Linked DNA regions of Mus musculus. The protein of the gene in region 1 binds, or shares a complex with, the protein of each later gene. Links are inferred from orthologs where the notes say so. Each region holds a gene or a part of one and is shown in the gene's direction. Other genes may lie near its edges.

Region 1 (16,402 bases):
TTTAACTTATACGGGCTGGTGTCCCACCAATTACACAATATTTATCATTCATTCATCCAACAAATGTCTATTGAGCATTGAGAGGTCACCATGTACCTTTCTGAGCCTTGAAGATAAATAGCAAACAAAAATCATCAGAGCATCAATGCTCATGGTTCAATTGATAAATGAAAAGCATCTGGAAAATAACTATATAGGCAAGAGATTTACCTTGTCATCAAAATCTGTAAAGGAAACAAAAGAGGGTGAGAGAAGAATTTCTGTCTGATGCCTTACTCTCTTAGATACATTGCCTTCAAGGATCCGATGATGAGTACCATTTAGGGAGATGTGTGTGAAGAAGCCTGTTTATGTATGAATCTTCTGACTATATGTGTATTACCCCACCTCTTTTATTTTCTTTGTCTTTAGAGGATTTTTTGAAGATTAGTATAAAATACATAAGTTGTAAGTAAATGCTAATATGTAGCAAGGAATGAATAGTAACCAATGATAATTAACATTAATATTTATCACTTTAATTAATGCAAGCTTTGAGATAAGCTCTGATCTCATTTAGCCCTTTGAGAATTCTATTGCTTTTAAATAAGAGAAAACAAAACTCACTGGGTTAAGCAAAGCATTTTGCCAGATGAAATCATATAATTATGATATTACATGAAATGTTATGGTATAGGGTTCACAATAAATGTGAGAAAACAGATAAAACTAGTGGAGATTATGATAGAGAAAACACTCAACCCTGAGTACAATTTTCTACCACTGGAATCCATGCACTATAAGACAGCCTCTGATCCCAGGACCAAACTGAGAAAGTCAATGAATCTAAGAACAAAAATAATTGTCAAAAAATAAGGCAGAATCTAGGAAATGTCTGTATATTTTTATTGGTACTCTCCATGTAGCTGTATATAATGAAAATGATGAATTAGAACAACAATAATTTTACATAAAAGTATATACAAGCATACATTAACATGGCTTTTACATACAACTAGCGAGGTTCACAGAAGATATTATAAAGTCAAACCAGCACACAAGCAAAACTTTGTCCCACACTCAGTATTCTTTAGTTCTTTGTGTAGTGTTAAAGACTCCTGCACATGTGTAGCTGTTGGCCTTTTACATCTCATGTGCAGGCAGCCATGTCAGTGAAACTTTATGGGTGTAGCTTTTGACATTAAGAATCACAGTATCACAGTAAAGTTCGTAACCTTTGGACTCATAATCTTTCGTCCTCCTCTCAGTGATCCCTGACCTGTAGGTGTTGGAGTTGTATTGTAAGTGCTTCCATTGGCACTGGACTCCAGAATTCTGCATTTTGGTTGGTTGTGATTTTTTTGTCGTGATCTCTGTTTATAAAGTGGGAGAAATAGTCTTTCCCAAGCAATAGCACAGCAATTAGTTACCAAATGCCAAATGGCCAACCCTGAAAACATATACATAAGTAATATTATACAAACTGAACAGGTTCTACTTATATATGTGGGATTTTATTTATACAATATACAATATATATATATCAACAATTAATGAAGCGGGCAACACGGACTTGAAAAACAGCAAAGACAAGGGAGTAAGAAAAAAACTTTAAGAGTGGAAAAGGAAAAGTGAAGTGATATAATTATAATTTCAAATAATAGTAATAAAAAAGATCTACTCTGTACCAAGTGGCACACAACACTTGTTATGAAATTAAGGTTTTCAGACTTGAGAGTTATGTAACACCTGATTCTATTGTTTCTCATTTAATCATAATTTTGTTGTAGCAGAATGTTAACATATTGAGAATTCAGGGGATATTTTTTCTTCCTGATATGTGGAATAAGATGTCTTGCAAATATGAAGAGGCAGATAAATAAATGGAGAAGGATGGGTGTGATACCATATCCCCAGAATGGCAGGTATTTTGGGAGTCCAATGTTATCTTTGACTGTATAGCTAATTTAAGGCCAGACTGGTCTATAGGAAAGCTTGTTTCAACCAAAATAAATCATGAACGAATGAATGAATAGGTGGACAATATGTTGAGTGGCATGTACATGTGAGAGTTTTATCACCCCATTATTCATCTTTGGAGAGGAGTGGGAACACACGGTTGGAAACATAACAATTGTTGTGTGGTATTTACAGGTAGTTCCTAATATTACCTACCAATGCATGGATCAGAAACTCAGCAAAGTCCCTGATGACATTCCTTCTTCAACCAAGAACATAGATCTGAGCTTCAACCCCTTGAAGATCTTAAAAAGCTATAGCTTCTCCAATTTTTCAGAACTTCAGTGGCTGGATTTATCCAGGTAATGAATGAGCTTTTATGTGATGCAGAATGTGAAGTAGTTATTTTTTATATCATTGCATTCTTGGCTTAGAAAACCAAGGTGGTTCTAACTAAACTTCCTTCTGTCATCTATTCAGTAGTGCTACAACTTGCTGTAAATCCTTGGAAAAGCTACTTTTATTTAACTGGTTTCAGTTGGATGGGCCACTAGATAAGAATATCTAAGGGCAATTCTAACCTCTACATTATTTAAAACAATTTCATTAGATATTTATGAACCATGTCTTATATGTTGTATGTCTAAACTACAGAAGAAGAATTTATAGATACAAAACCCATACTCCTAATTATTAAGCAGGATAAAATCCTCTTTAACAAATAAGTAAGTTAAAGTCTTGTCCTTATTATTGAACATACAGCACAAATAAAATAAATGTTAACTAATGCTAATACTGTTGTTTATAACAGTAAGTAATAAAATATGTGAAAATAAGGGCAACACACTGTGTCCTATAGAAGAGTGAATGTTTTGTTATGTGTGTGAGAGGATCAGGAAAGATTTTGAGACATGAGTACATATGTAAGATACCTGAAATATTGAAAGTAGAAAAGAGAGTAGAGATTGAAAAAAAAACTAACTTAGGAGGGAGATGTAAATGTCCAAGTAAAACATCAACTATGGGCAAGAAACAGTTACTAAGATTGTCCTTTCTGATTCAGGGCATCTTACCATTTGTTGGAACATAAAAACTTTTAGCCAGTATTTCAGGCGGGAAGCTCAATATATTTTATTGGTTAAAATTGCTCTTTGACAATTTCATACATCTATGTAATGCATACAGCTACTCTTACCTTCACCCACACTGAGTTTTCTCTGATCACTGTTAGCTCTGACCCCTTCCAAAATGTCTCCAACCTATATTCATACCTTCTTATTTATTGTTTGACCCACTGATTTTAACCAGGTTCTCTGTGTGACCATAGATTTAGAAAAACCTATCTGAGACTAGTGAGGTTAACCATTTGATAAGCAACTAAAACCAGTGACGGTTTCTCCCCAAAAATCTAAACTTTGGCAGAGAAGAAATGATTCCATGGTCCCCTCCATGATCAGTAAATATCTATTGGCATGATCAGTGCAGGGAACCACAGCTTCTATGACATCAGATTTGCAAAGTCTTTGTCATGTCCCACATGTCCCTCATGTCCCACAAATCCCTCCTCTCTCTGTCTCTTGGCTCTTACATTTCTATCAGATTCCTCGTCCTTTATAATCCCTGACTCTTGGAGAGGGATTTGTGAATGTTCATTACAGGGGTGATCACAGAACTATGTTTTGCTTCTTCTAGCATCTTGTACATCTAAGAATATCCTCATTCACTACTGTTTACTATAAAGGGAAGTGACATTTGTTAAGGGGTATAAATGTAAATATTTAGACAGAAGTCTGGTACTATGCTAATTTAACTAAACCACAATAACCAATGCCCTCTCTGCACCTCAAACATCAGGGTCATAGGCCTCTCTAAGCAACATTTTTTGAACAGGTTAACAGTACTAGCCTTGGACAAAAATCTAATCCAAGAAAGCTTTGTTACTCCTAAAATAGTTATGCCAGAATTTCAGCACTGGACACATCTTGCCTGGCAGGTTCATGTAATAGTTCATCTGGGCCATAGCTGGAAGAGACCAGTAATGATTTTTCCCCACCAGCCTTCATGACACCTTTCTGCTGAAAGCAAATCAGCAGAGAGAACATTGGTTGTGCTTCAGCTTCATGTCAGTGGGTTGTACTGATCAAGGAGATCCTTAGGTGTTGAAGTTGAACGATGAACCTCTTCTCTACCATATTCCTAAAGCTACTGGAATGTTTCACACATGTGTTTTTGTTCTAAAATTTAGAGTATGGTATTAAAAGTCTTCTGCAGAGCAGACAATACTGTAAATCATTAGTGAACTAGAAAATGTATTATACTCTTTACAGGAGCATGATAGATGGAGAATTCCAAAGGAAGAGGACCACAGCTCTGTTGGTGGAGCCTGTGCTTTCTCCAACGTTTAGCACCATGTGCCCTGTTGCTTGTAACTTTTCCTGAGTCTCTGTCTTCTCTCCTAGTAAAGGAAAATGGTAAATCTCCCTCCATGGTGAAAAGTTAATAAATGAGAGATTATTAAAATTATTTAGTGAGTTTATGAGTTTGAAAACATGCTATCATAATCACTTTATTAAATTGTACATTCTACTTATCCCAGGGAGATAGATTTGAAGAGAACTGAGGTAAGCAGGTAAAAAACTCTAAACAGAATAATCTCTTTTTAATATAGAGAACATAGTTTTTCACCCAGTATAATTGAGAATTGATCTAAAGTATAATGTAAGATAATTCCTTAAAGGTTTGGAGTTTGTATTCAGGAAAAAGGTAAGTTCCTCTTCCCTTAGCTCACAGGATATTTTGCATTAGAGCAAAGCAGACAATCTACTCCTGTGCCTTTCTTTAAAAAAAAAGATAATTTTCATTATGTAATTTCAAATGTTGTCCCTTTTCCTGGTTTCCCCCCCTGAAAACCCACTATCTTCACCCCCTCCCCCTGCTCACCAACACACCCACATCCACTTACTGGCCCTGGCATTCTCTTATGTTGGGGCATAGAACTTTCACAGCACCAAGGGCCTCTCCTCCCATTGATGACCAACTAGGCCATTCTCTGTTACATATGCAGCTAGAGCCATGAATCACACCATATGTTTTCTTTGGTTAGTGGTTTAGTCCCAGGGAGCTCTGGGGGTACTGGTTAGTTCATATTGTTGTTCTTCCTAGCACTGCAAACCCCTTCAGCTCCTTGGGTACTTTCTGTATTTTATTCACTGGGGACCCTGTGCTCCGTCCAATGGATGGCTGTGAGCATCCACTTCTGTATTTGTCAGGCACTGGCAGACCCTCTCAGGAGACAGCTATATCAGGCTTCTGTCAGAAAGCTCTTGTTGATATACACAATAGTGCCTCAATTTGATGGTTGTTTATGGGATGGATCCCCAGGTGGCAGTCTCTGGATGGTCATGCCTTCAGTCTCTTCTCCACACTTTGTCTCGGTAACTCTTTTCATGGGTATTTTGTTCCCACTTCTAAAAAGGATTGAAGTATGCACACTTTGGCCTTCCTTCTTCTTGAGTTTCATGTGTTTTTTGAATTGTATCTTGGGTATTCTGAGCTTCTGGGCTAATATCCAGAATTAAGTGCATATCATGTGTCTTCTTTTATGACTGGGTTACCTCACTCAGGATGATGCCCTCCAGGTCCATTCATTTGCCTAAGAATGTCATAGATTCACTGTTTTTAATAGCTGCATAGTACTCCACTGTGCAAATGTACCATATTTTTTGTATCCATTTCTCTGTTGAGGGACATCTAGGTTCTTTCAAGCATCTGGCTATTATAAATAAAACTGCTATGAACATAGTAGAGCATGTGTCCTTATTACAAGGTGAAGCATCATCTGGATATTTGCCTTGGAGTGGTATTGCTGGATCCTCAGGTAGTACCATGTCCAATTTTCTGAGGAACCACCAAACTGATTTCCAGAGTGGTTATATCAGTTTACAGTTCTGCCAGCAATGGAAGAGTGTTCCTCCTTCTCTACATCTTGCGAGCATCTGCTGTCACTTGAGTTTTTGATCTTAGTCATTCTGACTGGTGTGAAGTGGAATATCAGGGTTGTTTTGATTTGCATTTCCCTGATGACTAAGGATGTTAAACATTTTTTTAGGTACTTTTCAGTCATTCAGTATTCCTCAGTTGAGAATTCCTTCTTTAGTTCTGTACCCCATTTTTCAATATACACAATCATAATCATATATGTATGTATATGATTTGGCAATAGAATCCTAACAGAAAGTGGAAACTTGAGAAAGAATCAAACTTAGTTGCCTCATTTAGAAGTGGAATGATAGAAACTCACAGAAATTAATGGGTTCCCAAGATCATGCAGGAAGAATGGAGAGTTAACATGGCTCCATGGATTCCTCTTGCGATATTCTTTTTAACATACCTCTACCTTTTGTTAAATTACTAAGGAATAACCAAATCACAGACCAAAACTCTTTTATTACCTATGAATACTCCAAAGAAAATAGGAAAAGTGAGGGAAGGTAATTGGGTTAGATTTGGAAGTGACTCTTTTGCTAAATGTATCTGGCATGCATCTATGACAACATCTGTCATGAATCACTGTTGGCTGCGTCTGAGTTCTGTGGCTAGCTTGTCTCTGTGGAAGCTTTACGTAGTACAGCTTACATTTATCTTGGAATAAAATTTAGAATATTTCATTGAGCTTGTGAGTCTACACTATTCCCACTCTTGCCATACCTTTATATTATTCTTCCTCAGTTTCCTTGTTGCCCTTCAGTCACAGAGACTCTGTTGTGGCTCCTCCGTCTGGCATGCCTGCTAACTACTACAACTTTTGGATCGCTGTTTTCTTCATATATTCTTCACATTCGCTCATATTGATCATTGAAATTTCCACTTACTTATTCTCAAGTGTAATCTGCTTTTATCTGGTGAGAGAGGGTCAATTCTTTTGATGTGAATATTCTTAACCCATTTTCTTCTTCTTCTATAAAGCTTACTCATGTCCCTAATAATTAACATTTACCTGTGATAATGACAGACTCAAAATAACTAGCCATCATATATCAGTAAAGTTTTGTAAACATTTATGCCATTCTTGACTCTTGACACCTATGTGTCATTATATATGCCTTTAAAATTAACTTTCACCAGTAATTTATCATGACTAGCAAATAATGACCACCCATATTGCCTATACTCATTAGTTGTAAAATTATATCTATGTCTGGAAAAAATGCATAAATTAATCTAAGACTACTACATATCAACTGTCTTTATGTACCCCAGTTATGATCTTGAATTGATTTTTTCTAATGGATTTGCTGCCTGACATAGTGTGATAGTTTATCATCACTGTAGCAAGTGTGAAAATGACAAATCTGCAGAGTTCCTCTCCTGCTCACACCATCATCACCTGTTTTGCTCTGTACAGTTTTCTCTTTACAATAACATGGTATATCATATCTGTTTGTATCATAGTATGGTAGGGACTGTTATGTCATTAGAAAGGGTTTTTTTTTCAGCAAAAATACATAATTGGTATCTCTTTTGCCCATAGGTGTGAAATTGAAACAATTGAAGACAAGGCATGGCATGGCTTACACCACCTCTCAAACTTGATACTGACAGGAAACCCTATCCAGAGTTTTTCCCCAGGAAGTTTCTCTGGACTAACAAGTTTAGAGAATCTGGTGGCTGTGGAGACAAAATTGGCCTCTCTAGAAAGCTTCCCTATTGGACAGCTTATAACCTTAAAGAAACTCAATGTGGCTCACAATTTTATACATTCCTGTAAGTTACCTGCATATTTTTCCAATCTGACGAACCTAGTACATGTGGATCTTTCTTATAACTATATTCAAACTATTACTGTCAACGACTTACAGTTTCTACGTGAAAATCCACAAGTCAATCTCTCTTTAGACATGTCTTTGAACCCAATTGACTTCATTCAAGACCAAGCCTTTCAGGGAATTAAGCTCCATGAACTGACTCTAAGAGGTAATTTTAATAGCTCAAATATAATGAAAACTTGCCTTCAAAACCTGGCTGGTTTACACGTCCATCGGTTGATCTTGGGAGAATTTAAAGATGAAAGGAATCTGGAAATTTTTGAACCCTCTATCATGGAAGGACTATGTGATGTGACCATTGATGAGTTCAGGTTAACATATACAAATGATTTTTCAGATGATATTGTTAAGTTCCATTGCTTGGCGAATGTTTCTGCAATGTCTCTGGCAGGTGTATCTATAAAATATCTAGAAGATGTTCCTAAACATTTCAAATGGCAATCCTTATCAATCATTAGATGTCAACTTAAGCAGTTTCCAACTCTGGATCTACCCTTTCTTAAAAGTTTGACTTTAACTATGAACAAAGGGTCTATCAGTTTTAAAAAAGTGGCCCTACCAAGTCTCAGCTATCTAGATCTTAGTAGAAATGCACTGAGCTTTAGTGGTTGCTGTTCTTATTCTGATTTGGGAACAAACAGCCTGAGACACTTAGACCTCAGCTTCAATGGTGCCATCATTATGAGTGCCAATTTCATGGGTCTAGAAGAGCTGCAGCACCTGGATTTTCAGCACTCTACTTTAAAAAGGGTCACAGAATTCTCAGCGTTCTTATCCCTTGAAAAGCTACTTTACCTTGACATCTCTTATACTAACACCAAAATTGACTTCGATGGTATATTTCTTGGCTTGACCAGTCTCAACACATTAAAAATGGCTGGCAATTCTTTCAAAGACAACACCCTTTCAAATGTCTTTGCAAACACAACAAACTTGACATTCCTGGATCTTTCTAAATGTCAATTGGAACAAATATCTTGGGGGGTATTTGACACCCTCCATAGACTTCAATTATTAAATATGAGTCACAACAATCTATTGTTTTTGGATTCATCCCATTATAACCAGCTGTATTCCCTCAGCACTCTTGATTGCAGTTTCAATCGCATAGAGACATCTAAAGGAATACTGCAACATTTTCCAAAGAGTCTAGCCTTCTTCAATCTTACTAACAATTCTGTTGCTTGTATATGTGAACATCAGAAATTCCTGCAGTGGGTCAAGGAACAGAAGCAGTTCTTGGTGAATGTTGAACAAATGACATGTGCAACACCTGTAGAGATGAATACCTCCTTAGTGTTGGATTTTAATAATTCTACCTGTTATATGTACAAGACAATCATCAGTGTGTCAGTGGTCAGTGTGATTGTGGTATCCACTGTAGCATTTCTGATATACCACTTCTATTTTCACCTGATACTTATTGCTGGCTGTAAAAAGTACAGCAGAGGAGAAAGCATCTATGATGCATTTGTGATCTACTCGAGTCAGAATGAGGACTGGGTGAGAAATGAGCTGGTAAAGAATTTAGAAGAAGGAGTGCCCCGCTTTCACCTCTGCCTTCACTACAGAGACTTTATTCCTGGTGTAGCCATTGCTGCCAACATCATCCAGGAAGGCTTCCACAAGAGCCGGAAGGTTATTGTGGTAGTGTCTAGACACTTTATTCAGAGCCGTTGGTGTATCTTTGAATATGAGATTGCTCAAACATGGCAGTTTCTGAGCAGCCGCTCTGGCATCATCTTCATTGTCCTTGAGAAGGTTGAGAAGTCCCTGCTGAGGCAGCAGGTGGAATTGTATCGCCTTCTTAGCAGAAACACCTACCTGGAATGGGAGGACAATCCTCTGGGGAGGCACATCTTCTGGAGAAGACTTAAAAATGCCCTATTGGATGGAAAAGCCTCGAATCCTGAGCAAACAGCAGAGGAAGAACAAGAAACGGCAACTTGGACCTGAGGAGAACAAAACTCTGGGGCCTAAACCCAGTCTGTTTGCAATTAATAAATGCTACAGCTCACCTGGGGCTCTGCTATGGACCGAGAGCCCATGGAACACATGGCTGCTAAGCTATAGCATGGACCTTACCGGGCAGAAGGAAGTAGCACTGACACCTTCCTTTCCAGGGGTATGAATTACCTAACTCGGGAAAAGAAACATAATCCAGAATCTTTACCTTTAATCTGAAGGAGAAGAGGCTAAGGCCTAGTGAGAACAGAAAGGAGAACCAGTCTTCACTGGGCCTTTTGAATACAAGCCATGTCATGTTCTGTGTTTCAGTTGCTTTAGAAGAGTATTGATAGTTTCAACTGAACTGAACGGTTTCTTACTTTCCCTTTTTTCTACTGAATGCAATATTAAATAGCTCTTTTTGAGAGGTCTTCATTCCAATTTCATCTTCCATTTTATGTCATTTTCTTTTCTTTTTTTTTTTTATCTAATTCTATAAGAAATATGATTGATACACGCTCACAGATAGCCTGGCCAATCCTAAGAATGCTATATTTATTAAATACAATTCCTAGTATACTTTTACTTTTATAAATTCAGTTATCGTTTTTCATGCCTTGACTATAAACTAATATCATAAATAAGATTGTTACAGGTATGCTAAGAAGGCCCATATTTGACTATAATTTTTTAAGAAAGTATGTAAAATATACTTTGTCATATTGTCACTGAATGTCATTCTTAAGTTATTACCTAAGTTATGGATGTCACAGAGTCAGTGTTAAAAATAATTTGGTTGATAGAAATATTTTTAATCAGGAGGGAAAAGTGGAGAGGGGTGCAGGAACAGAAATCATGATTTCATCATTTATTCTTGATTTTTCCGGAAGTTCACATAGCTGAATGACAAGACTACATATGCTGCAACTGATGTTCCTTCTCATCAAGGATACTCTCTGAAGGACTTGAGAACATTTTGGGGAGGAAGAAAGGTCTAACATCCTTTTCCTTCATCATTCTCATTTCTGGACATGCCTTGTGAGATGGATGAATGTTGGGAGTACACATTTCTGCTTTCACCTTATTTCAGTCAGCATGAACACTGAATATATAATGTCATTTCACAGTGTGTGTGTGTGTGTGTTGTGTATGTACATATATGAACCTGTACATGTGTTTAAGTTTAAAGAGAAAATAGTGTACAGAGCAGCTCTATATTTGTGATAGGGCTTTAAATAGTTGAGCTAATTCAGAAAAGTATGGAGATTTCTTGGTAAAGGAAACCAAAGTAGAATCATTACAAGATCTAACAATAAAAATTTTGAAACAATCCTACAAGTAAATATATTGGATTTTCTTGTCCATTAAGACAATATTCATACTATTGAAATTATGGAAACAACCCTTGGAAGGTTAATGCATAGAGACAGAATGCTATCTACTTGCAGTGGAATGTGATTTGACCTTGGAGAAGAAGCAAACCTTGCTACTTGTGAGCAGATGCATAAAGGTGGAGGTTTTTTATTGTAAGTGAAATATGCCAGGCACAGAAGGAACTGGCCTTTCAGGAACTTTTGATGACATGAGCAAAGTTAGAAAAAATAATATGCAGAACAATAGAAGAGGAAGACAAAAGAAAGACAGCCCTAGGATGTATTCTTCACAACGATTTTAAACAATATGCTTGAAAGAGAATGAAGTTATTAGTATCAATTAAGATGTCTACAATTTTCATAATTCCATTCAAACTGGAACATAGCCACCTAATTATTTGTCTCTTGTTAGCCAAGTGAAATAGCAGATCAAGAATCTCCCCATTTTTCTGATATAAAAACCCAAATTCTAATGCAGTAAATGTCTTGTCAATCAGCCAGATAGCACAGAAGAGGCAAGGCGACAGTCTGTGCCCCTTCCCTCTCACAGAAACTCCTGTGCACTCTAGCCCACTGCTTCAGGCTACAAGCTAGAAAAGCAAGAAGTGAAAGTGCCACAGTTCTCTATGTGGTTAGTGCCAGTCAGGGTCATTCAACTTAAACCATGAGTCATTAAGAAAATACATATGCATGCATGCATTAATGCACAGAGTAGTTTATTTATAACAACTCTTTCCATAAAGGGCTGGGGAGTTTTCAACAAAATATAAAGGAACAATTAGTTTAATCAAAAGAAAGAAATATAGGCAGAAGAAAGAAATGAAAGAAAGAAAGGAAAGTTTTAACTGTGTATTCCAGGTTTAATTCTAGAGATCTTCTGGAATTTTAGAGAGTGTGACTTTTGGAGAATTCCTAAACTCATTTTCAGATTATATTACGTATGTGACTTGGCCTTCATCTGTCTGAGAGCTAAGAAAGAAATGAAGATCATGCATTTATTATTAGGCCATTACAAACTAATAAATATAAAGATAAAAGGGAGACTCTGTGGATGAGTCTCCCTCTTGGCTTTCTTATGGGTAGTCAGAGAGAAGCACTCAGTAGCCTTATCCTTGACAACATTTTTGTCACATTTGTTTTCCCAGTCTGTAGGACAACAGCAGTCCTTATGACTAAAGTAGATTGTATCTTTTTTACCTAGCTTCTATTCATCTGTGTTGTCCTAGCTTCCTTTTTGAGTCTACAGCCTTTGAGAAATCACTAGAAGTCACTGGAACCTCATGCTTTGACTTGAGGCAGTCCTCATATGTGTTCCTAGGTACTCGAGGGGTCAGTTGGGAGACTGGGGAGCCATATCTTAACCATCAGCTTTGCTTCCTTGGTGTTGAGCATCATGCCTGACAAAGTAAGCAGACAATGCCTGTATACGTGAAGAAGAGGAGAATCATTAATGCATGTTTTCTTGGTGTGCTGTTGTCCTTGATACATTCCAGTTCAGAATCTAAAGTCCTAGGGATCTTAGCTGTCAACTTAGTTTTCCCTGTCTGTCACTTTGTATGGATGATTTAAATTGCTTCTTCACTTGGTTGCTTGACACCATGTATTCTAAAATTTTGTGGAAGGTGTGTGTTGGGGGGGGGCGTAGTTCTAACAATAGTGTTCTCTAGTGGATACATTAAAATCATATTCAGCTAATTAATATTTGATTAAGTTTTGCATGCTATACCGATTTGATAAACATTCACAAAATCACAGGCTTCAAGATTTTTCTTAACACATCCAAAGTACACAGGCATTAAATGGGCAAAACTAAATATCAAACTGACTTTATTTAATAGTTTCTCTACTGTTCTCTTTTGTTTTATGTCAAGAGTTGAATGCCACTGTTCTGTATTTTTAATTATTTATTGTTTGCTATTGTGAGAATTCAAAGCCAGAACTTTGAGGAGCTGACAGAGGCACTGTGGCCTATGAAGACAGTTTTTGGAGTTAACAATTTCCTTGGTAACTATGGACTATGTCTCCACACTTCAGCTCTCATATCTGATGGAATAAACTCCTTTCCAGGAGGCTTCTACTTATGCTAATGCACCCAAGCAAACAAGGAGGCTAATAGAACCAGCTGTTTCTGTCTTTATAGCAATTTCCCAACATTCTACACTTGAGGATTTCTTCTGTCACATGATTTTTTTCATTGGGCATTCTTTCAATCCTTCATTAAATGGCCGAGACTTCTCACTAGACCCCAACTCAATGAAATTCTTAAGCTGCTAGCATTGAACAACACTGACTTTTTCAAAGCACCTTGATAGGGAATTTAAGCTGGACCATCTGAAGCAGGAAAGTCTGTTGTTTTGATGGAATTTCCTAATGGTACCATTGTGGCTTTATTTTGCCTTGTTAATGTAAGGGATTCAAAGCATTTCAACTTACTACTCATAGTTCAAGCATCTATTTTGCAGATGCACTGAAAATTAAGAGATTGGAGAGTTTGTCATATATATTTCCATCATCAACTATTCTAGTTCTTACTAAAGAAGGAGGGTGCAAAAATTTGAAGGATATGTTAAAGTGCCTTCTATACTTAATGATTCTTCTAGAAAAGGCAAAGTGTTGATCTTGTTCTTTGTTATGGTATTATATCTTCTCATGGTAATTTGAAAGAAGTTTACATACCAATTTCAGTTTGTTTACCTAGGCCTTGAGAGTCATTCTACAGTACACGATTAGGCTACTATGAAGACAAAAGAAATCATTGTGGGGAAACTCAGTACAGCTCTAGATTTACCTTTTATAATAGATGAATCCCAGAATGATAAAGATCAAGCCTGGCATGATGTTAATTTAGTGGGCTAGGATCCTGGAAACCTCCTAAAATAGGACATCCCATGCATTTGGCCTTAGCCAGTGAGGCATCTCTGAGAAAGTGTAGAAAAACTTGCAAGGAGGTTCAGTGCTCTGAAAGACACAGAGTCAAATGTACATGTAATTCCAGTTCTTCTTTTATATATGTGTACTTTACATAGTCCCTGAAGTATCGAGAGGCTCAGGTATAGGTGCTACCACCTTGATAGAGTTCACTTAGCCAAAATGCAGAAATGGATGCCCAGAGAGAATAGATTACTTGTCCTGCATCCTGTAACTTAAAATGTGTTAATAATCATCATAATAAATTCTATCTGCCAAATATTTCATATGTGCATGAGACTGTTTTAGTTTAATTATTAAAATTGCTTTCTGATGCAGCTCTTAGCCACATTGTCATTTCCCATACAATGAAACTGAGACCAAAAAGCAAATTCTCCAATTCCAAGGGTAGAATTCAAGTAATCCTGATATCCAGAGCTGCTAATTTTTTGCCACACAGTAGACTGCTGCAGTGTCTGGGCTTTTTTGCTGGGGCTCATTCACTCACTAACGGGAGAATCCTGTGGACAAGGTCAGCAACTCCCTTACCATCTAGAAATTGAAGGTTTCAAAGGCACTGCATGTGACTTTCCTTGATTTCTATGGAAATGAAGATGGTCCCTCCTGTGACAGTGCTAAGTGCCGAGTCTGAGTGTAAATGTGCTTTTTGGCACAAATTGTTCTGTTCTAATAGTGTTGATTATAATTATAAAATAATGTGTTTCTGAAAGGCTGCAAGCAATTCTGGGAATGACAATAAGGGTTTCGAAACAACATGGTATTTATGTGAGAAGTGTTTTGTTGAAAATTAAACCTGTGTTTAGGAGAAAGGATCCTGTTGTTTGCTCCTAAGAAACTATCACACCATGTAATTAAATCAGAGCCAGTTGGTTGCCAATTGGAGTTCTTGTCTCACATGAACAATATTGTATCACCTACAACAAACAAGATATGACTGACCAGAGGTAGCCAAGACTCTTTACCCAAATCCTGTTTCTCTATCTTCTCAGGGCCCAGAAAAAAGATGGAAATGCATGGTCAGTTTTTTTCCAAGGCTGGGAATTAACCTTGTAGGGTGAAGCCTTCCTCAAGTTCATCTCAGATTGTCCGTAAGGAATAGGTTTTTCATTCAAGGGCCTTTTATAGGAGGCTGTATCTGTAAATAAGTGAGGAATTCAATGTTTGAGAGGCTGTCTTGACTTCCTTTCTTGGGAGGAAAAACAAAATCCTTCTATGAAGATTAGGAATGTCTTCGATGTTCTCAGACCTCAAAGGCAGAAAAAAGTATGCAGTGTAATTTGTTTGTATGTATCTCTCTTAAAATAATATCTACCATAACATTGTCTCCCAACCCGGATTTGTGTTTTATTTTCACCAAGGACATCATAAGGTTTAAAGCAGATCTTGCAAGGGACGTCATAAAAATAGATATATGACAGGATGGTAAAGTTTACCAGGCTGAAGAACCACTTGATGATTTTGGCTATATTTAATTATATAAATTTCTGCTTTTATTATCTCTCTTGCTAGAAATTTTATTTGATAACTAGAGTTTAATAATCTGTATTTTTAAAAATATTCTATGTGCAATTTTAAGTATAAACAGATCTGGAAATTACTATTTAAGAGGCAACAGCCTATAATGTACCATGTTTAATATGGCCATGTGCTCTGTCCTTGAGATTTACTGCTGAGAGCCAAAGAAAGATCAACAAAATGGAACGGGAAACTTATTTATTTATTTATTTATTTATTTATTTATTTATTTATTTATTTATTTATTTATTTTAAAGAAAAAGGTGCTTCATTTATCTGATGATTTTATTCTTTTACACTGTGTAATTGATTCTTCTCAATTCTATCTGATCAGACTCATGTGGAAGAATCTGTCCAGTTTGATGTAATCTTCAAACATCCACATAGAAGTTATAATCTGACAGTCATGTGTTTCTCCTGGTTTCTACATTATATGTTGCCTTCTTCATCCCCTTTTGGAATTTGAGATACATAAGCTTAAATCAGAATAATATCATGGTCTGTCATGAACTCTCTGAGGCATCTGTTGACAGCTTTAATTTATTGGTTTATCAACCCCAAACATACCAAGTCTAACTTACCTCCCATTTGTAAACTGAATATTCACTTGTCACTGACATACACAGCTGCAACAAATGGCCTTCTCTGTAAAGCACCAGGCTCTCCTGCACAGACTTACCACATAATTGTCAGTCTTCCCAGGAAACCCTTTTCATTCCTGTTGAGGGGAGGTAAGGCAGTGAGCACTAATAGCTTAAATTCAGTCATTTTGACCTTTAAACTACCAACCCTGAATCTTCTGGAGGAGTCTATGGCTCCCCAGTGGGAAACGCATGCTGGAGAAACTTACTACTTGCAAAAAGCACTTTTGAAATA
Region 2 (17,023 bases), on another chromosome or scaffold:
CATTTCAGATGCCAGGACATGTCGTACCGCCCTGCTTGCACATGCGTTTAAATGTCCTGCATAAATGTGAGTGCTTTGTCACTTGGGAAAAAGGTTTTATTAATTTGTAACAGAATAATCCAAAAGACATCTTGTTTGGGGGCAAGGAAGCCCTGAGTGGCTATAATGACTTCTGAAGGCCATTGAGAGGCCTGGTGTGAAATGAGACCAAGATGGAGATGGGACCTGTGCTTATTTAACAGTTTAACCATTTAACCACATTGCTTTGTTGGTTGCAATTTGTCAAGTAATCCCAGTGTCCCTTGGTAGCTGGCCATGGACAGGCACAGGTTTTTTGTTATTTGAAATCAATTTTAAAAACCAGTATTAATTCTTTTTTTGTTTGTTTTTGTTTTTTCGAGACAGGGTTTCTCTGTGTAGTCCTGGATGTCCTGGAACTCACTCTGTAGACGAGGCTGGCCTCGAACTCAGAAATCCACCTGTCTCTGCCTCCCAAGAGCTGGGATTAAAGGCGTGCACCACCACTGCCCGGCTACTAGTATTAATTCTTAGACCACATATTGCATGTATAGTAATTACATCTACCCATTTGTATACATGAAAGTTATAGGAAATCTACAAAGGTGTTAAAGAGACTGGCAAAGTTCCAAGTGGCCATAAGGGAAAGGCAGAGGTAGAGCTGTTGCAGGTGTAACATAGAATAGGAGACACTGAACTTGAAAGAACCTAGTGGGGAAACCCCCACTCAATTTCTGTTCTGCGCGCACCCAAGAATCATGAACAGACCACCATCTTGATGTAAAAGCATGAGGTAGTTTAATGATGGAGCTCCTGGCCGACACATAGCTCCCGCAGGAGACAGAGGTGTCGACCACATGGTGGAGCCATAATGGCGGAGCTCCGGTTCGAAACGTAATCACACAGGAGACAGTGGTTTCGACCCCGACGCTTGGAAGCTAGGGGTTTTTATAGAAAAGGGGTGGGGCTGGGGGAGGAATTGGTGCGGTTTCACATGATTGGTCCATTTAAACATCAACAGACTGTCAGAAGGGCGGGAGATAGGGAGGTACCAGGCCAGTCAGGACATGTAACAATGGGCCTGCCCAGGCATGACCTGGCCTGTTCTGCTATGTTCTCAGCCCCAGGTTTCAAAGCTCACAAACAACTCTTTGGGCTATTTGACATAAATTACATGAATCACATGTCTCAAGTTTTATTTCCTTTCAAACTCATCTGGAGAGCTGCTGAAGGTAGCACAGCCAAGGAACAGAGGTCACACAGATGTGTTGCAGATGGACAGTATCTTAGGGTTTTACTGCTGTGAAGACACCATGACCAAGGCAACTCTTATAAAGGACACCATTCAACTGGGGCTGGATACAGGTTCAGAGGTTCAGTCCATTATCATCATGGTGGGAAGCATGGCATCGTTCAAGGCAGCCACGGTGCTGGAGAAGGAGCTGAGAGTGCTACATCTTGATCTGAAAGCAGCCAAGAGAAGACTGTCTTCTGTAGGCAGCCAGAAGGAGACTGGATTCAATACTAGGCAGAGCCTGAGCATAGGAGACCTCAAAGTTCACCAATATAGTGACACACTTCCTCCAGCAAGCCCACACATCCTCCAATAAGGTCACACCTCTTAATAGTGTCACTCCCTATGGGCAAGCATTCAAATACGTGAATCTATGGGAGCCAAACCTATTCAAACCACCACCTATAGAAATTTGGCTCATGTCAAGAAGGGGACTGTGTTGGGAGCTCTCTTACTGTAGATCCCTAGAGGCACACACACAGCAGGTGGTCAGATCACATGTCAGGGGGGATGCTACCATTGCTGTGTTACCGTCTTTATGGTGTCCATGTGGGGACACTCGAAGTGTTCGTGTTATGTTCTTTGGCTTAGTTTTCCTGATTGATTGATTGATTAATTAATTAATCTAATTGAACTCTGGTCTCATGTAGTCCAGGCTATCTTTGAACTCACTATTAGTTGAAACTAACCTTCAACTCCTGATCTTCCTGCCTCTGCCTCCCAAGTAGAGTCCAGTAGTGTATTGTCATATCTAGCCTAATATAATTTGTTTGTTTTTGTTTGGTTTTTTCGAGACAGGGTTTCTCTGTGTAGCCATGGCTTTCCTGAAACTCACTCTGTAGACCAGGCTGGCCTTGAACTCACAGAGATCCTGCTGTGCTTGCCTCAGCTTCCTGAGTGCTGGGATTAAAAGCATGTGCATGACGAGTTTTAACACAGCCATGTGTTCTATGTTCTTCATGTACTTTAAATCTATGCGTGACACCTTTGTACCTTCAGGGAGAAGTTTTTTTTTTTTTTTTTTTTTTCATTTTGTGTTTCTGGTTTGTGCAGAGTCATTCTGCTCCATCAATGCACTAAAGATGAGGCCAATGCTGCTGTGTAAAATGGAGTCACCAAGGTCAAGGGACACCCTGAAAGCCACTCTTTTGTATAATATAGAGTGAGTAACATGTGGAACAGTTTGATCTTCATAGAAGCCTCATTAAAATAAGTTAGGAGAAACAACTCATAAAATCAGCTCTATATGCCATCCCAAAACATGGGAGGCAAGAGGATGGCCTTGGAGTTCAAGGTCAACTAGGGCTACATAGCAACATTTAAATTTCAAAAAACAAAACAAAACAAAACAAAAAACCTCAGGCCAAGTTGAAAAGGACTAACACTCTACATCCTTCCTTCATCCCACTTCCGTCTCCTCCGGGCAGGTTACCTATGAAGGAAAAGGAGGCACACCCGTAAACAGATTCACAATAAATACACCTCGACCCAGGGGCTGAGAATTGCTGTGTTAGACACAGGGTCTCTAGGCAGTCTTGGCTGGCCTGGAATCACAGATCCACCTGCCTCTGCTTCTTGGCACTAAAGGCAGGCACAGCTGCCACCATCTAACTTCCTTTAAGGCCAGGGTCTCTCACTGAACCAGGAGCTAGAATGGCTAGCCTTAGGCATCATTCCATCTTTGCCTGTACTGTGTCTGAGTCCAGCTTCATGCTACATTCAGCTTTTTTCACTTTGATGTTGGGAATTGGACTCTTCCTCACACCAGAGGGACAAGCACTTTATGGACGGGACCTTTTCTCCAGCTCCAATAATCCTTGTGTTTAATGATGGTCTCATTGTATTGAAGGACTCCAGTTTCAGAAGCAAAAATAACAAACTGGGGGCTGAGGAGGTGGCTTAAAAGTTAAAAGTATTTGCTGCTCTTCCAGACAACCTAAGTTTGGTTCCTGCATTCAAATAGCACCATATAACTGTCCCTCTACTTCAGGGGACATCTTCTTCTGGTCTCCAAGGACACCAGACTCTAACATGGCTTAATGAACATGGCACACAAGCATACATACAAACAAAAACATGTGAAATAAAAAGGAATATTTTTTAAAGATAACAAAATGGCCCTTAGGTACTGACAGCCTCAGCTTGAATAACTTGGCTAAAAATACATTCATATCCTTTTGTTTGCTTGTTTTTTTTTTGTTTTTTTGTTTTGTTTTTGTTTTTTTGAGATAGGATTTTACTATGTAACTTTGGCTGGCCTGGATTCACTAAATAGATCAGGCTGGCTTGGAGCTCACAAAGATCCACCTGCCTCTGCTTTTGGTTTGCTGGGGTTAAAGTGTGAGCCATATCTTTTCATTGAGGGTTCACACCCATAAAAGTAGAAGAGTACAATGATCCTGCAGCCTCTGCCACCCACATTAATAATCATTTTTTGTTTGTTTGTTTAATACAAGATCTCTCTGCATATCTCTGGCTGTCTTGAAACTCACTGTTTATACCAAGTTGGCCTTGAGTTCAAAGAGATCCACCTGCCTCTGCAGGGGGCTGGGATTAAAGGTGTGTACAACCACACTCACTCAAGGCCCAGTCTCACTAGCTCTAATTAGCCTGGAATTCACACAGACCTGCCCACCTCTGCCTCCCTAGTCTGGGATTGAAGGGATGTGACATTCCCATCTCTCCTGTGACAAATTTGTAGTTGATACTGTTTCTTCTAGACTTAGGCCACTTACTCTACTATTTTATTTTAAAAGCAAGTCCCAGTCAGAGTACTTCTTTCTTAAATTTTTTATTTTGTAACTCGACAGGCTTGTTTTGTTTTGGGGGTTGCTTTTGACCTTGCAATGTAATAACTTCTGATCCTCTTCTTTCCACCTCCTAAGTGCTGAGATTACAGAAACATGCTATCTATCATGTAGAGCAGGCTGTGTGTGTGTATGCATTTGTATGTGAGTGGATGTCTGCCAAGGCCAGAATGAGTCACATTCTCCTGGAGCTGGAGCTGTGAACCTTTCAACGTGGATGCCAGGATTGGAATTCATGTCTTTGATTTCAGACCCAGGGATAAGGGACTGAGGTGCAGACCTGGCCTCCAGGTTCTCCCAGTATCCCTCAGTTTCTACCTGGCATTCATAACCTGTCCCCAACCCTTAACTTTCCAGGAGCTGTGCTGCGCTTCGCCAAGCAGCTTTATATACTCCAGACATTTTGGTCTCCCATCCTTCTCTTTTTCTTTCCTTCTTCTATCTCTGAAAGCACACACAAGCCCTTTTTCTACCACCCCCTCACCTTGGTGCCATCCCTGGCCTCAGTTTTTGGGGCCAGTGAACTCAACACTAGAGCAGTTTCCCTTAATATTTAATCTGGCTTGAATTGACTCATTTTACCAGTGGAGAAATAGTTTATCAATGTCCCATGCAAGAGCAGTAATCTCTTGTAATCACAGAGCCATCTCCTCAGTTCCTAGTAGTTATATTTTTAGAGTATATAATTTTTTATGTGTAGTTTTTGAAACAATATAATTACATTTTTACCCTTTCTCTCTTCTCCGGCCAATCCTTGCCATGTGCTCTTCCTGTTCTCTTTCAAGTTCATAGCCACTTTTTTCATTGATTGCTATCACATGCATATATGTACATGCATATATATGTATATTCCTAAGTATAACTTATTTCTGGTTGTGTGTGTCTCCAGGTCTGGCCATTTGGTATTAGATAACCAGCTGGCATATTTGCCCCTGTTCCTCCTCCTTCCAGCATTCCTTAGTTGCCTGTAGTTCTTTGTCTAGGGTTGAGGCCTCGTCTATTACTGTCATTGTTCACTTCATGTTTAGGCAGTCATGCTGGTAAGACTTTATGAGTGTAGCTTTCTCCATTACTAGGATACAAAGTCTCACAGCAAACACTCTGAGTCTCTGGCTCTTAGTCTTTCCACCTTCTTTTCTGAAGTTTTTCTTGATCCTTAGGTCAGGGAGTGTTTTGTTCATGTGTCCATGGACTGAGCCCCCACAAGTCTGCATTTTAATTGGTTGTGGTTTTCTATAGTGGTCTCCATGTGTTACAAAGAGAAATTTCCTTAATGGAGGGAGGGAGAATACGGCACTTATCTACGGATATAATGGCAAATACTTAAAATGTAGTCAGGGATTTTGCTGCTTTATTAAAATGGTGGTTATAGTTTCTCCTCCAAGACCTCTCCTAACTTGTTAGGACTCTGGTGAGCATGGCAAGCATGGCTCCCTCTGCCTTGCTAAAACATCATCATCATCACATCACATCATCATTACATCATCATCACATTATCATCACATCACACCATCATCACATCATCAACAACAACAACAGATTACATTCCTTAAGCTAGCCACCAAGGTCTATTCCCTTATTTGGCCACTTCCTCCTCTTGAGGCTGACTACCAAGGTCCAGCTATCAAAGCATTGAAGTTTAGCAATCAAAAGCCCCCTTTGGCTCACATAATTTATAACATGCCCAATTAACATTAAACATCTCATCCTAACACAGTTTTCCCCTTAAACCTTTATGAACTGCCATTTTTTTTTTTTAATGTGCCACATCTGACTCCTCTATCCAGAGGCAGTCATTTGTCCTCTGAGACAAATACCCTCCTTTCACTCCCTCGTTCCCTTCCCCTTCTCCCTCATCCTCCATCGTCTGTGGTCTTTGTCTCTTATTTCCTGCCCTCTGTTTATCTGGGGCCAATAAATCTCTTTTGTGTTGAGAACTTGGTCTGAGCTGATACCTTTTCCTTTCTTCTTCTTCTTCTTCTTCTTCTTCTTCTTCTTCTTCTTCTTCTTCTTCTTCTTCTTCTTCTTCTTCTTCTTCTTCTTCTTCTTCTTCTTTTTTTTGGTTTTTCGAGACAGGGTTTCTCTATAGCCCTGGCTGTCCTGGAACTCACTTTGTAGACCAGGCTGTCCTCGAACTCAGAAATCCACCTGCCTCTGCCTCTGCCTCCCGAGTGCTGGGATTAAAGGCATGTGCCACCACGCCTGGCTACCTTTTCCTTTCGATAATGTATTTGTGTTTTTATTATCCATTCATCCTGCCTCCGAAGTACTGAGATTAAAGTCATGTGCTACACCCGGCTGCTTCTCTCATTTTACAGTTTTTTTTTTTTTGGTCTTTTTGAGACAGGGTTTCTCTCTGTATAGCCCTGGCTGTCCTGGAACTCAGAAATCCACCTGCCTCTGCCTCCCGAGTGCTGGGATTAAAGGCGTGCGCCACCACGCCTGGCCATTTTACAGTTTCAAGAGATGGAATTCAGATCCTCCCGGCTAGGCAGCTGGGGCTTCTGCCTACCTTCTAGTTCATGTCATGTCAGTCCAAGGTCTTCATCTTCTTCAAAGCATACGGAAAGTGGTATGTTGTGTCAAACTCAAGCACTCAAGAGGCAGAATTGGGTGGATCTCTGTGAGTTCAAAGCCAACCTCATCTATATGGTGAGTTCTGGGCCAGCCAGAGCTATTCAGTGAGACCTTGCCTCAGAAAACAAACTAGAACAGAAAAGGGCCTGGCCTTGTGAGATGGCTGACTGAGTAAACAATGCTTGTTGCCAAGCCTGATGACTTGAATACAATACCTGCAGCTCATGTGGTAGAAAGGAACCAGCTCTTACAAGTTGTTCTCTGACTTCCACACATGCGCCCCTCATCCTCAAGTATTAAAAGAACCAGTTAAAATAGAAAAATGCAGTTGTGTTTAAATCCTTTTACTGACACAACATTTTTTTTCTTCTGTCTTTAGTTAGGCAGGTAAGCCCAGGGAATTTTAGTAACTTGGGGCTCTGTTTGGATCAGGTTATATATACTCTCCCACCCCCGGCTTTTCTAATAACAGCTGGCAGCCTAGTCCTTTTACCTGTCTATACTGTGCATAATACCCCTACCCAAATAATGCACCTAGCAATCTGGAACATCCACCTGGGTGGGGCTATCATATCTCTTCTCTGAACAATGGGATAGGTATGTCTCCCCTGACAACCATCAGACTTAGACACTTTCTATTCTCATGTGTTCCAACATTTACAGTACGAAGAGTGGACAATCCCAACTGGCCTGATCTGGATTTGGGTATGTGCTCAATATGGTAAACCATCCTATAAGGAAGAATCTATTTACCATATTATGCTAATGCATATTTGGGTGTGTATATAATTATACATTATATAATTATTATTTGGGTCCATTATGGAAATGGGCATATATAGTAGGAAAAATATTAAATGACATAATCTATTGATCAAAATAAAGAACCATCAAAACTATGCCCCTTGATTCAAGTGCCTCCTTCCTTTAGGCTTGATGAAAAGAGGCCCCTCACAGTCACCCAGTGGCCGGGAGTATCCTCAGGTGACCCATTGCTCTCACAGTATGCTCTGATCTTTCTATTGTTTTGCTTTAAATACAATTGCCTTGCTACCTTAACAGTTCTTAGTGAGCAGTTGAGTGTCACCACTAGAACCGGATTGTAGGCCACAGCTGTAAGCCTTCTTGGCTGCTAACCCTAAAGTAAGAGTCTGTAAAAGCCGTGCAGCTGAAGGAAGCACACTTTTCTAAAGTAGTCTTTGAATGAAATACACGCCAGAACAAAACAGCTTTTTCTTTCTTTTTTTTTTTTTTTTTTTAATTACTGGAACTCACACTTTTACCTCAAGATGCTACTCTGTGGAAGAGCTCTAGAGTCCAGCACCAACCCCACCCCCAACTCAACACTATTGCCTCAAGTTCAACCTTCCTTTTGAGTGCATTCTCAAAACTGGTGAGGTCCCAGCTGGGAATTGCTACTGACCCCGTGTAGGGGTCATCTTGCCTGTCTGTTTTGTGGCTGAACCTGTTTGTACTTGAGTAGAAATTGAGAGGGGGTAGGGGAGAGAAATCAGCTTAGATAGCTAGATGCAGCTTTCTAGGTCAGGAGAAACCGTTGTATGAGGAGGAGTGTGTGGGAGGGAGTGGCCAGCACACAGAAAAGTAGTATACCGGTGGACTTTCTTTCTTGAGACAGGATCTCACCTTATAGCTCTGGCTGTCCTGGAACTCACTATCTGGAGAAGGCTAACCTGGAACTCACAGAGATCCGCCTGTCAAGTACTGGGTGTGTGTACTACGGCTAGTGGACTTCCTTTTAAGTAAGGGTTTCCTGTAAGGCAGCTAATTGTCTCCCTGAAAATGTGCTGTTTTAAAGTGCTGGATACTTTAGTTTACACTGAGTATTAAGAAACAGTATATTCTAAGTCATTTTTTTCTTCTCTTGCCTTACAGGAAGTGCTCAGATATGAAAACAAATGCACAGTCACACATGCAAATAAAAAGAGGAAGCAGTTGGATGGGAGCTTCCAAATCACATGACTGCTGACTAAGTTAAATCTGTCCTCCTTACTGTCGAGTCCGATGGTCTTCCTGGCGAGTTTAAAGTATCGGAGATATTAAATCATGTTGCCATTTATTCTCTTTTCGACGCTGCTTTCTCCCATATTGACTGAATCTGAGAAGCAACAGTGGTTCTGCAACTCCTCCGATGCAATTATTTCCTACAGTTATTGTGGTAAGTGGCCCGGCAACAAAGAGCTGCGGCGCCAACTATTTCGAGAGAAAGTTTCCACTGAACCTGAAGCTGGAGGGCTGGCAGGAACGCTGCTCCAGCAGTGAGCCCGCTGCGGTGTGGGGTGGGGGTGGAGCAATGCCGACCACTTCCGGGTGCGGATCATCCTTTCCCTCTCCCAACCCCCCCCCCCCCCCCCGCGTTTCCCCAGGACCTCTGAATTGCTTTTTACCTCTGTTGCTGTCTTGTGGTTAAGCTCTCTCCACTCGGAGCTCGGTTTCAGGTTCTTCTTAGTTCTAGTTTGCTTCTGAGTACCAGCCCCGACACAAACTGGTTCCTCTTGAGGAGGCTAACCCACAGTGCTTCCTGGTGGGGTTGTAGCTCCAGCCTGTGGTCCTAGAGTGCTCTTGGAAGCATCCTTCTTCCTCCCCAACTGTGTGACCTTGAGCAAAATACTTAGACATTCTCAGCCTCACTTTTTTTTTAATTTGCAAAATGAAAGTTATTTTAGAATTCACTGTATGAGTCACTTGACAAATAATGATTTTATTTGATTTCGAATAGTGATTTTTAGATTTATGCAGTAATTATTACTCTATTGAAATCTGTTTTGAGACAGGGTCTTTCTATATAGCTGTAACTACCTGGAATTCACTATATAGGACAGGCTGGGTTGGAAATCATAGAGATCTGCCTGCCTCTACCTCCTGGAATTAAAGGCATACGTTGCCACGCCCAGCTTATTTTATTATTTTTTTCAAAGTATCACTATATAACATTGGCTGGCCGGGAACTCATAGAGATTGATACATATGCCTCTGCCTTTTGAGTTATTTGCTTATTTTTTTGAGACAGTGCCTTATTCTGTAGTACAGGCTGCCTAGAACTGACTATATAGCTTATGCTAGCCTCAAACTCATGCTCCCCGTTGCCTCGACCTCTCCAGTGCTAGAGTTGCAGATATTTTTCAGCTGAGCTAAACTCTGGTGCCATTGGATCATAGTTAACGCTATGGCCACATTACAACTTGTCATTAACAAATGCCTGGGACCAGAAAACCTAGTACAGGGCTTGAGAGCTGTTTCAATCTGTTTCCTCTTTCTGCTGCTCGCTCCGTTAGTTGTCCATTTTCTGCCCCTTCTAGGAATGTCTTCGTGGCTGGAAGGTGGTGCCTTCCAAAATGACAGTTCTAGGAAAAGCAAGATCATAGCCTAGTTGTCTGAAAGTGGAGCAGGGAATTTATAAATGTACTTTGAGAACTCCTGCATTGCAAATTGGTTATTTTGGGGGACTGGCTTGTCCCCAAACACTCTGACTGGGACTAATAACTAATCATCTCTGGGGCATTAGGAAGGTCCTCAGTCTGCTAACCTCTGTTTTCCTCTTCTTTTGGGCCCCCTGCTTTGTCAATTTATTTATTTACTTACTTATTATATATATGTGTGTGTGTGTGTGTGTGTGTGTGTGTGTGTGTGTGTGTGTGTGTTTTCCTGGATGTATATATGTGTATATGCTGATGCCCTCAGAAGCCAGAAGAAGGCATCAGATTTTCTGGGACTGCAATTATAGTCTCTTTTGAGCTGCCTGATGTGGCTGGTAAGAGTTGAATCTGGGTCCTCTGCCAGTGCTCTTAACCATGGAGCCCCCTACTACATGGTGACTCTTCATATGCTTAATTAGTAAAATATAATAAATATTATTCTGCTTTACTCCTTTTAAAAAAGAATTATTTATTTTATGTATATAAGGACGCTATAGTAGCCATGGCTGCTGGGAACTGAACTCTGGACTTCTAGAAAAGCAGTCAGTGCTTTTAACTGCTGAGCCATCTCTCCAACCCCTCAGCTTTATTCTTTTAGTAACAATTTAACTGTCTTTGTTAAGGACTAGGTAAAATGTTCAGGCCTAGGTAACTGTTACCTGTCTAGCCTGCCATGCTGTGCCGTTACTAATATTATAAGGAAACTTTCTTACATGCTGTTATTGCTGTTAGTAGGATGTTCTGTGCTTTGGTGTTCTTAGAAAGGAATCACAATAGAAGTTAGTTAGAACTGTTTTGTATAATTAGCCACAATAAACTTGGAACAGAACCAACTACCCAGCAGCACTTCCTAAACAGGGGTATAAGCTTTTCTAGTATTTGCCTTTACAAGGTACCCTGGGATAGATTTCAGCATGAGAGACACCTGCACCTATTTCCATTTTGAGTAAGTTTCAGATAAAGTTTAATTTCCCAAGACCTCCCTGGGAACCGACATCCTACTTGGCAGAAGGAGACATGTATGTGGGTAGCTGACATCCTGGTTGGGAAGTTAAGACATAAATGTTAGATAAGGCAAGTCCCTGCCACAGAATACCCCCAACAAAGAGGAGCAGGGTAAGTATGCAACAAAGACATGTTCCTAAGGAAATTTCCTGAATCCTGATTGGTGGAACAACTTGGCACAGATGTCTGTAGATCTCAGGCTTAAGAAACCCTATAGGATCTTGACCAGATGTTGCTGTCAGCTCCCAAGTCTGACCTGTGGTCCTGATTGATCAGTCCTGAGTTGTATGCTCAATTATGCTCAATAAACTATCTCTGTCTGACTGAGATCGGTGTTCATGTGGTTTGTGAGGCAACTCCTGGAGCCCAACATTTGTCTTTGTTTGGTTGGTTATTTTTTGAGATAGAGTTTCTCTATGTAGCCCTGGCTGTCCTGGAATTTGGTATGTAGACCAGGCTTGCCTCTCAGAGACCTGTCTACCTCTGCCTCCTGAGTGCTGGGACTAAAGACATGGGATACCACACCTGGAATATATTTGGCTTCCTCTGTCTTTTGATGAGCTTTTCAGAGGTAGAATCTGACCCTTAGCTCAGTAACACCAATAAATCCTGAGAACCGGAGAATCCCCCGACACCAGGTCAGAAGAAAGCAGCAACCCCATGATCCTGCATGTGACCATAACAGAGTGGACCAGTCCTTATACAAGTTTAATAAAAAAGCATCTTTTTGTGCTGATGTTCAGAATGCTATACTTATTGAAAGTTTTTTTTATATACTTGTATTTTCTTCATTCCTTTTAGATCACTTGAAATTCCCTATTTCAATTAGTTCTGAACCCTGCATAAGACTGAGGGGAACCAATGGATTTGTGCATGTTGAGTTCATTCCAAGTAAGTACAAACTTTCACTCTTGTAGTCGGCTACAAAGGACTCTAGAGATTCAGAATAATTCGATTCCACATATGTTTGTTATCTATTGCTATATTATAAGTTACCACACTCTTAGATATATGCTTAGCATAGCACATATCTATTGTGAGATGGCAGTCTGGGCATGGTTTACCCATGTCATTCAGGGCCCCTTATAAAGATATGATCAAGATTGTGACCATGTTGTAGAAGTTGCTGCTTCTCAGTGCACGTGGTGGTCGACAGTATTCAGTTTCTGGATTCTGGCTGTTGGATACATGGGCCTTATTACTTTAGCTGCTTGCTTCATCAAAGCTGGCAAAGGGTAATGATGAAAGGCTTGGACAAGGAAGTGGTACTGTCATTTTTTTAAAAAAAATTTATTTATTTAATGTATGTGAGTACACTGTTGCTGTCTTCATACACACACCAGAAGAGAGTATCTGATCCCATTACAGATGGTTGTGAGCCACCATGTGGTTGCTGGAAGTTGAGTTTAGGACCTCTGAAAGAGCAGTCAGTGCCACTGAGCCATCTCTCCAGCCAGGTACTGTCTTTTTTTTCTGTATTCTACAACTCATCATATAGAGGGTTTTACAAGGATATAGGCTAGAAATGGGAATGACTTGAGCCTGCTAATAATGGGTGGTCTTTGTCAACTATTAGCTATTCAGCTGGTGAGAAGTAATTGAGTTTCCATTGGAGAATCTGTATATGAGCAAGCCAGTATTTTTATTATTATTATTATTTAAAATTTTTATTCCCCCTCACTTCTTCTCTCCTTCTCTCCTTCCTAGCACCTGTGTGTGTGTGTGTGTGTGTGTGTGTGTGTGTGTGCACATGAGTGTGCTCATGTGAGTGTGAGTGCCTGAGGAAGCCAGAAGATGGTCTTGGCTCTCTTAGAATTGGAGTAACAGGTAGTTATGAGCTGCCTGGTATGGGTTCTGGGAAGCTAACCCCAGTCCTCCTTAGAGCAGCAAGCACTGTTACACACTGATCTATCTTTCCAGTCCCAGAACTCTTTACTATTAAAGTTGACCTTTTTGGGGAATGTGGTCTTGCATGGATGTGTGATGCCTTCCATTCAATCTCTAACATGAGGGAGGATATTTCTAGAAAACATATAGTGGTGATGACATGAGAGAAGGAACCGTGCTTGCCTTGTGTTCTATTCTGTATTTAATTACTTCTCAGCGTGTGAAGGCCGACGATGGGAGCTCTGTGAAAATACAAAGGCTCATCCCCTCCCATTAGCCAGCCAGTGCTGCTCTGCTTGCTTCCTCTAAGCCCTGGGGTTCAGAAAATGAATTCTTAGGATTTTGGTTTTTTTTTTAATTCGAGGAGAGCGTCTCATTTAGTAGCACTGGCTGTCCTGGAACTCACTAGTAGACCAGGCTGGCCGCGTACACACAGATCAGCCTGCTCTGCCTGCTGAGTGCTAGGTTTAAAGGCATGAACTACCACATCTGGCTCTCAGGAAAGGAATTCTAGTCTTTAGCACTATGGTCTCCATTTTCAGCACAGACTTGGAGCATGTTTTATATTTTACAAAGTGTTGTCATGTAAATAACAGGCTTTCATAAAAGACATGTTTTTATTATTTTATTTATGTGGATATGTGTATATCTCTTTGTGTGTTTGCCCTATGTGTGGATGACTGTGGAGGCCAGAGTGTAGTGTTAGGTTGGTGTGAGCTGCCCAATATGGATGGATGCTGGGCACTGAACTTGGATCTTAGAAGAGCACTCTTAACTACTGAGTCATCTCTGGAGCCCCTAATACCAATAATTTGTTCTTGTTCTCCTCTTTCCTTCTGCCTTAAGAGAAGGTTGCCACTGGGTAACCCGAACTACATAAAAATGACTACAGAGCCCAAATTGCCCCTAGACTTGTGGAAATTTTCCTGTCTCTGCTTCCCAAGTCCTGGGTTATATGTCTATTCCACTATGCTCAGTATCATGTAGACAAGCTTAAAGAAACATTCCTTCTTCCTCAGATTGTAGACCTCCATCTTATAAGAAAAAAAAAAAGCAGTTAAGAATTTGAGAAAGAAGCTGAGTTGGTGGCACATGCCTTTAATCCCAACTCTTGGCCAGAAGTAGGTGGATGTCTGTGAGTTCAAGACCTACTTCGTCTATATAGTGAGTTCAAGGACAGCCCAAGCTACATAGTAAAACCCTGTCTCAGTGAGCAAGAAAGAGAGAGACAAAGACAGAGAGAGAGAGAGAGAGAGAGAGAGAGAGAGAGAGAGAGCTTAAGAATTGTCCTGACCTTCAGGGATAATCAGCAGGGACCCAGGGCAAGGGAGTGAGAGAGTGGGAGGGACAAGAAACACAAAGAATGAGAGCAAGTCAATTTCCTGATCAAGCTCTGAAAAACTTTATTCAGGAGTGGCAATATAAGCATAAACAAGAGGAGGCTTCAAGGGAGCAGGGAAGAGTCCGGGGGCTTTCCAAAGGTCAGGTGGCAATCTTCAGTTCCTGGAACCAACAGTCACAGTGTCTTCTTTTCCCACAAACATTCTTATTGTTATGAGAATGATTGTTTCAGGATTGTTTATGTAAGCTAGAAAATTTCCACAAGGCCATGGCTCCTGGCATCTCCTTCCTTTTAATTATTTTCACTATGGAACTGGCGTGATCAATAGTCATCTCATCCTTGGATGAGTGGGCGTTAACCAGCAGGAGGGAGCATTGACCTGATTCCTCCCATGGGTACCATCACGACCTATAGTCATGGTTCTTGGTATCTTTTGGAGAGGAGAGGCAGAGCCTTAGAAAAATCCTTAGGATAAGGTTGAAAACAGATACAAACCTCCTTGCAAACCAGGTTTGTCTCATGGGGAATTTAGAGATGGTCCATGGGAGACCTTCCCCTGAAGTGCTTAGCCTTGCAACCCATGCTGGTGCCCAGACTGAATTCATTTTATCAAGAATTATCAAGAATGCACAGGTCTGAATCCTATGCAGCTCCTGAAGGAGAATTATCAACCTCAGGTTCAGCAAGGCCTCTGTCAGCCAAATCAAGTCTATGCATTTGCAAGGATCTCGATGCCAAGGAATCGATCTGCTGTTTTATAAAACCAATAATTCTGTTAAAAATAAAAGGCCCCAAAGTAACTAATAATAAAATGCTTATTGGGTTTGTTCTGGTTGGCGCCAGCTTGGGTGCAAACTCTGCGAACAGTCCCATGGTCCCCTGAGGACTTTCCATGCCATAGGCACCCTAGCACACCCAGGATCTTGGGATCACTGGTGAATGGAATGCAACATCTGTTACAAAACAGCTGGGAGTGGCCTGTGTGAGCAGGAACAGGGACACTGGAAACCCACCAGACCAGCATCTGGGGATCATTCACACCTAGGATCTAAGGACCACGGAGGAGAGTTGGCCTATAGAGAGGGCTATGACCCCAGGTCTCAGGTGAGAGTGCCATCTGGTATCCCGGGTCTCTTAGAGACCAATCAGAGCAGGAGAGCACATGGGGCACAGAAGGAACAGAACTTCTTGGACAGGGTCCCTTTGGGCCTTCATCCTCAGCCAGGAGGCAGAGCTGAGACCCAGACCTCTGGGCACCTTCCCTGCAACAGGAGAGCTTGCCTGCAGAGAGAGCTCTAACTACTGGTACTCAGGAGAGAGTTGGACTCCCAGGAGTGCTGACAGAGGCTAACAGAAGCACAGGAGGAACAAGCTCCAGCCAGAGACAGCTAGAACATCTAACACCAGAGTTTTCCAGATGGCAAAAGGCAAACATAAGAATCTTACTAACAGAAACCAAGACCATTCGGCATCATCAGAACCCAGTATGCCCACCACAGTCCTGGATACCCCAACACACCTAAAAAGCAAGATTCGAATTTAAAATCATATCTCATGATGGTGGTAGGGGATTTTAAGAAGGGCATTAATAACTCACTTAAAGAAATACAGGAGAACACTGCTAAGCACAAGAAAGAAGAAGCACAAAAATCTCTCAAAGAATTATAGGAAAACACTGCTAAACAGGTAGAGGCCATGGCTCCTGGCAAAGAACGACAAACAAGATTTTTTTGTTAGTTTCCTTGAATCTAATTCTAGAATTTTTTTTTTTTTTGATTCACTGTCCTTGTACTTGTTCAGTCATTAGGAGGAATCTGTCAGGTTGTAGGACAACTAAAAAAATTGTGGTAGTGTCAGTCATAAAGAGGGGCATGGAGAAGGGTCTAGAGGTTCTATGAAGTAGAAGTATGTACAAGTCATGGGGCTGGGGTGTAGCTTAGTGGTAAAGTCTTGCCTAATATGTGAACCACCCTGCAAGAATCTGCCAGTTCAGCAGAAGAAACAAGTCTTTTTTAAAAATTAGATATTTTCTTCATTTACATTTCAAATCTATCCCCAAAACCCCCTATACCCTCCCCCTGCCCTGCTCCCCAACCCACCCACTCCCGCTTCCTGGCCCCGGCATTCCCCTGTACTGGGGAAGATGATCTTTGCAATACCAAGGGGCCTCTCCTCCCACTGATGGCTGACTAGGCCATCCTCTGCTACATATGCAACTAGAGTCACAACTCTGGGGGTACTGGTTAGTTCATATTGTTGTTCCTCCTATAGGGTTGCAAACCCCTTTAGCTCCTTGGGTACTTTCTCTAGCTCCTTCATTAGGGGCCCTGTGTTCCATCCAATAGATGACTGTGAGCATCCATTTCTGTATTTGCCAGGCACTGACATAGCCTCATAAGAGAGAGCTGTGTCAGGGTCCTGTCAGCAAAATCTTTCCGGCATATGCAATAGTGTCTGGGTTTGGTGGTTGTTTATGGAATGGATCCCTGGGTGGGACAGTTGAAGAGACAAATCTTGAGGGTAACTTGGACAGTTGAAATGACAGCCTGAAGCATCTGTGGCTGCAGAGCAGAAAATGATTCAACTCTGCTTGTTCTGCTTTCTTGACCAAGAACAAAAGAAACGTGAAATTTTGACCTGGTTAAGGCTCTGTAATTTC

The links.
Region 2: the proteins of Tlr4 (region 1) and Ly96 are in contact, whole or in part, in a crystal structure (PDB 4G8A), measured with the Homo sapiens proteins. The link is inferred for Mus musculus from reciprocal best matches to the Homo sapiens genes TLR4 and LY96. Residues at the interface, in NP_612564.1 of Homo sapiens: Gln39, Met41, Glu42, Asp60, Ser62, Phe63, Asp84, Ser86, Arg87, Thr110, Gly111, Val132, Val134, Glu135, Asn156, His159, Ser183, Ser184, Asp209, Leu212, Arg234, Val259, Glu262, Phe263, Arg264, Asn265, Glu266, Arg289, Ala291, Tyr292; in NP_056179.4 of Homo sapiens: Met40, Tyr42, Ile66, Pro67, Arg68, Arg96, Ser98, Asp99, Asp100, Asp101, Tyr102, Ser103, Phe104, Arg106, Leu108, Lys109, Gly110, Glu111, Thr112, Thr115, Thr116, Ile117.

What each region holds. Positions count from the first base shown.
Region 1 is NC_000070.6:66,831,761-66,848,162, forward strand, and holds the end of Tlr4 (toll-like receptor 4 precursor), read left to right. Parts: intron 1-2,133; coding exon 2,134-2,300; intron 2,301-7,468; coding exon 7,469-9,719; 3' UTR 9,720-14,821; downstream 14,822-16,402.
Region 2 is NC_000067.6:16,679,748-16,696,770, forward strand, and holds the start of Ly96 (lymphocyte antigen 96 isoform A precursor), read left to right. Parts: upstream 1-8,708; 5' UTR 8,709-8,760; coding exon 8,761-8,872; intron 8,873-11,936; coding exon 11,937-12,026; intron 12,027-17,023. UniProt on the Homo sapiens protein: Binds bacterial lipopolysaccharide (LPS). Cooperates with TLR4 in the innate immune response to bacterial lipopolysaccharide (LPS), and with TLR2 in the response to cell wall components from Gram-positive and Gram-negative bacteria.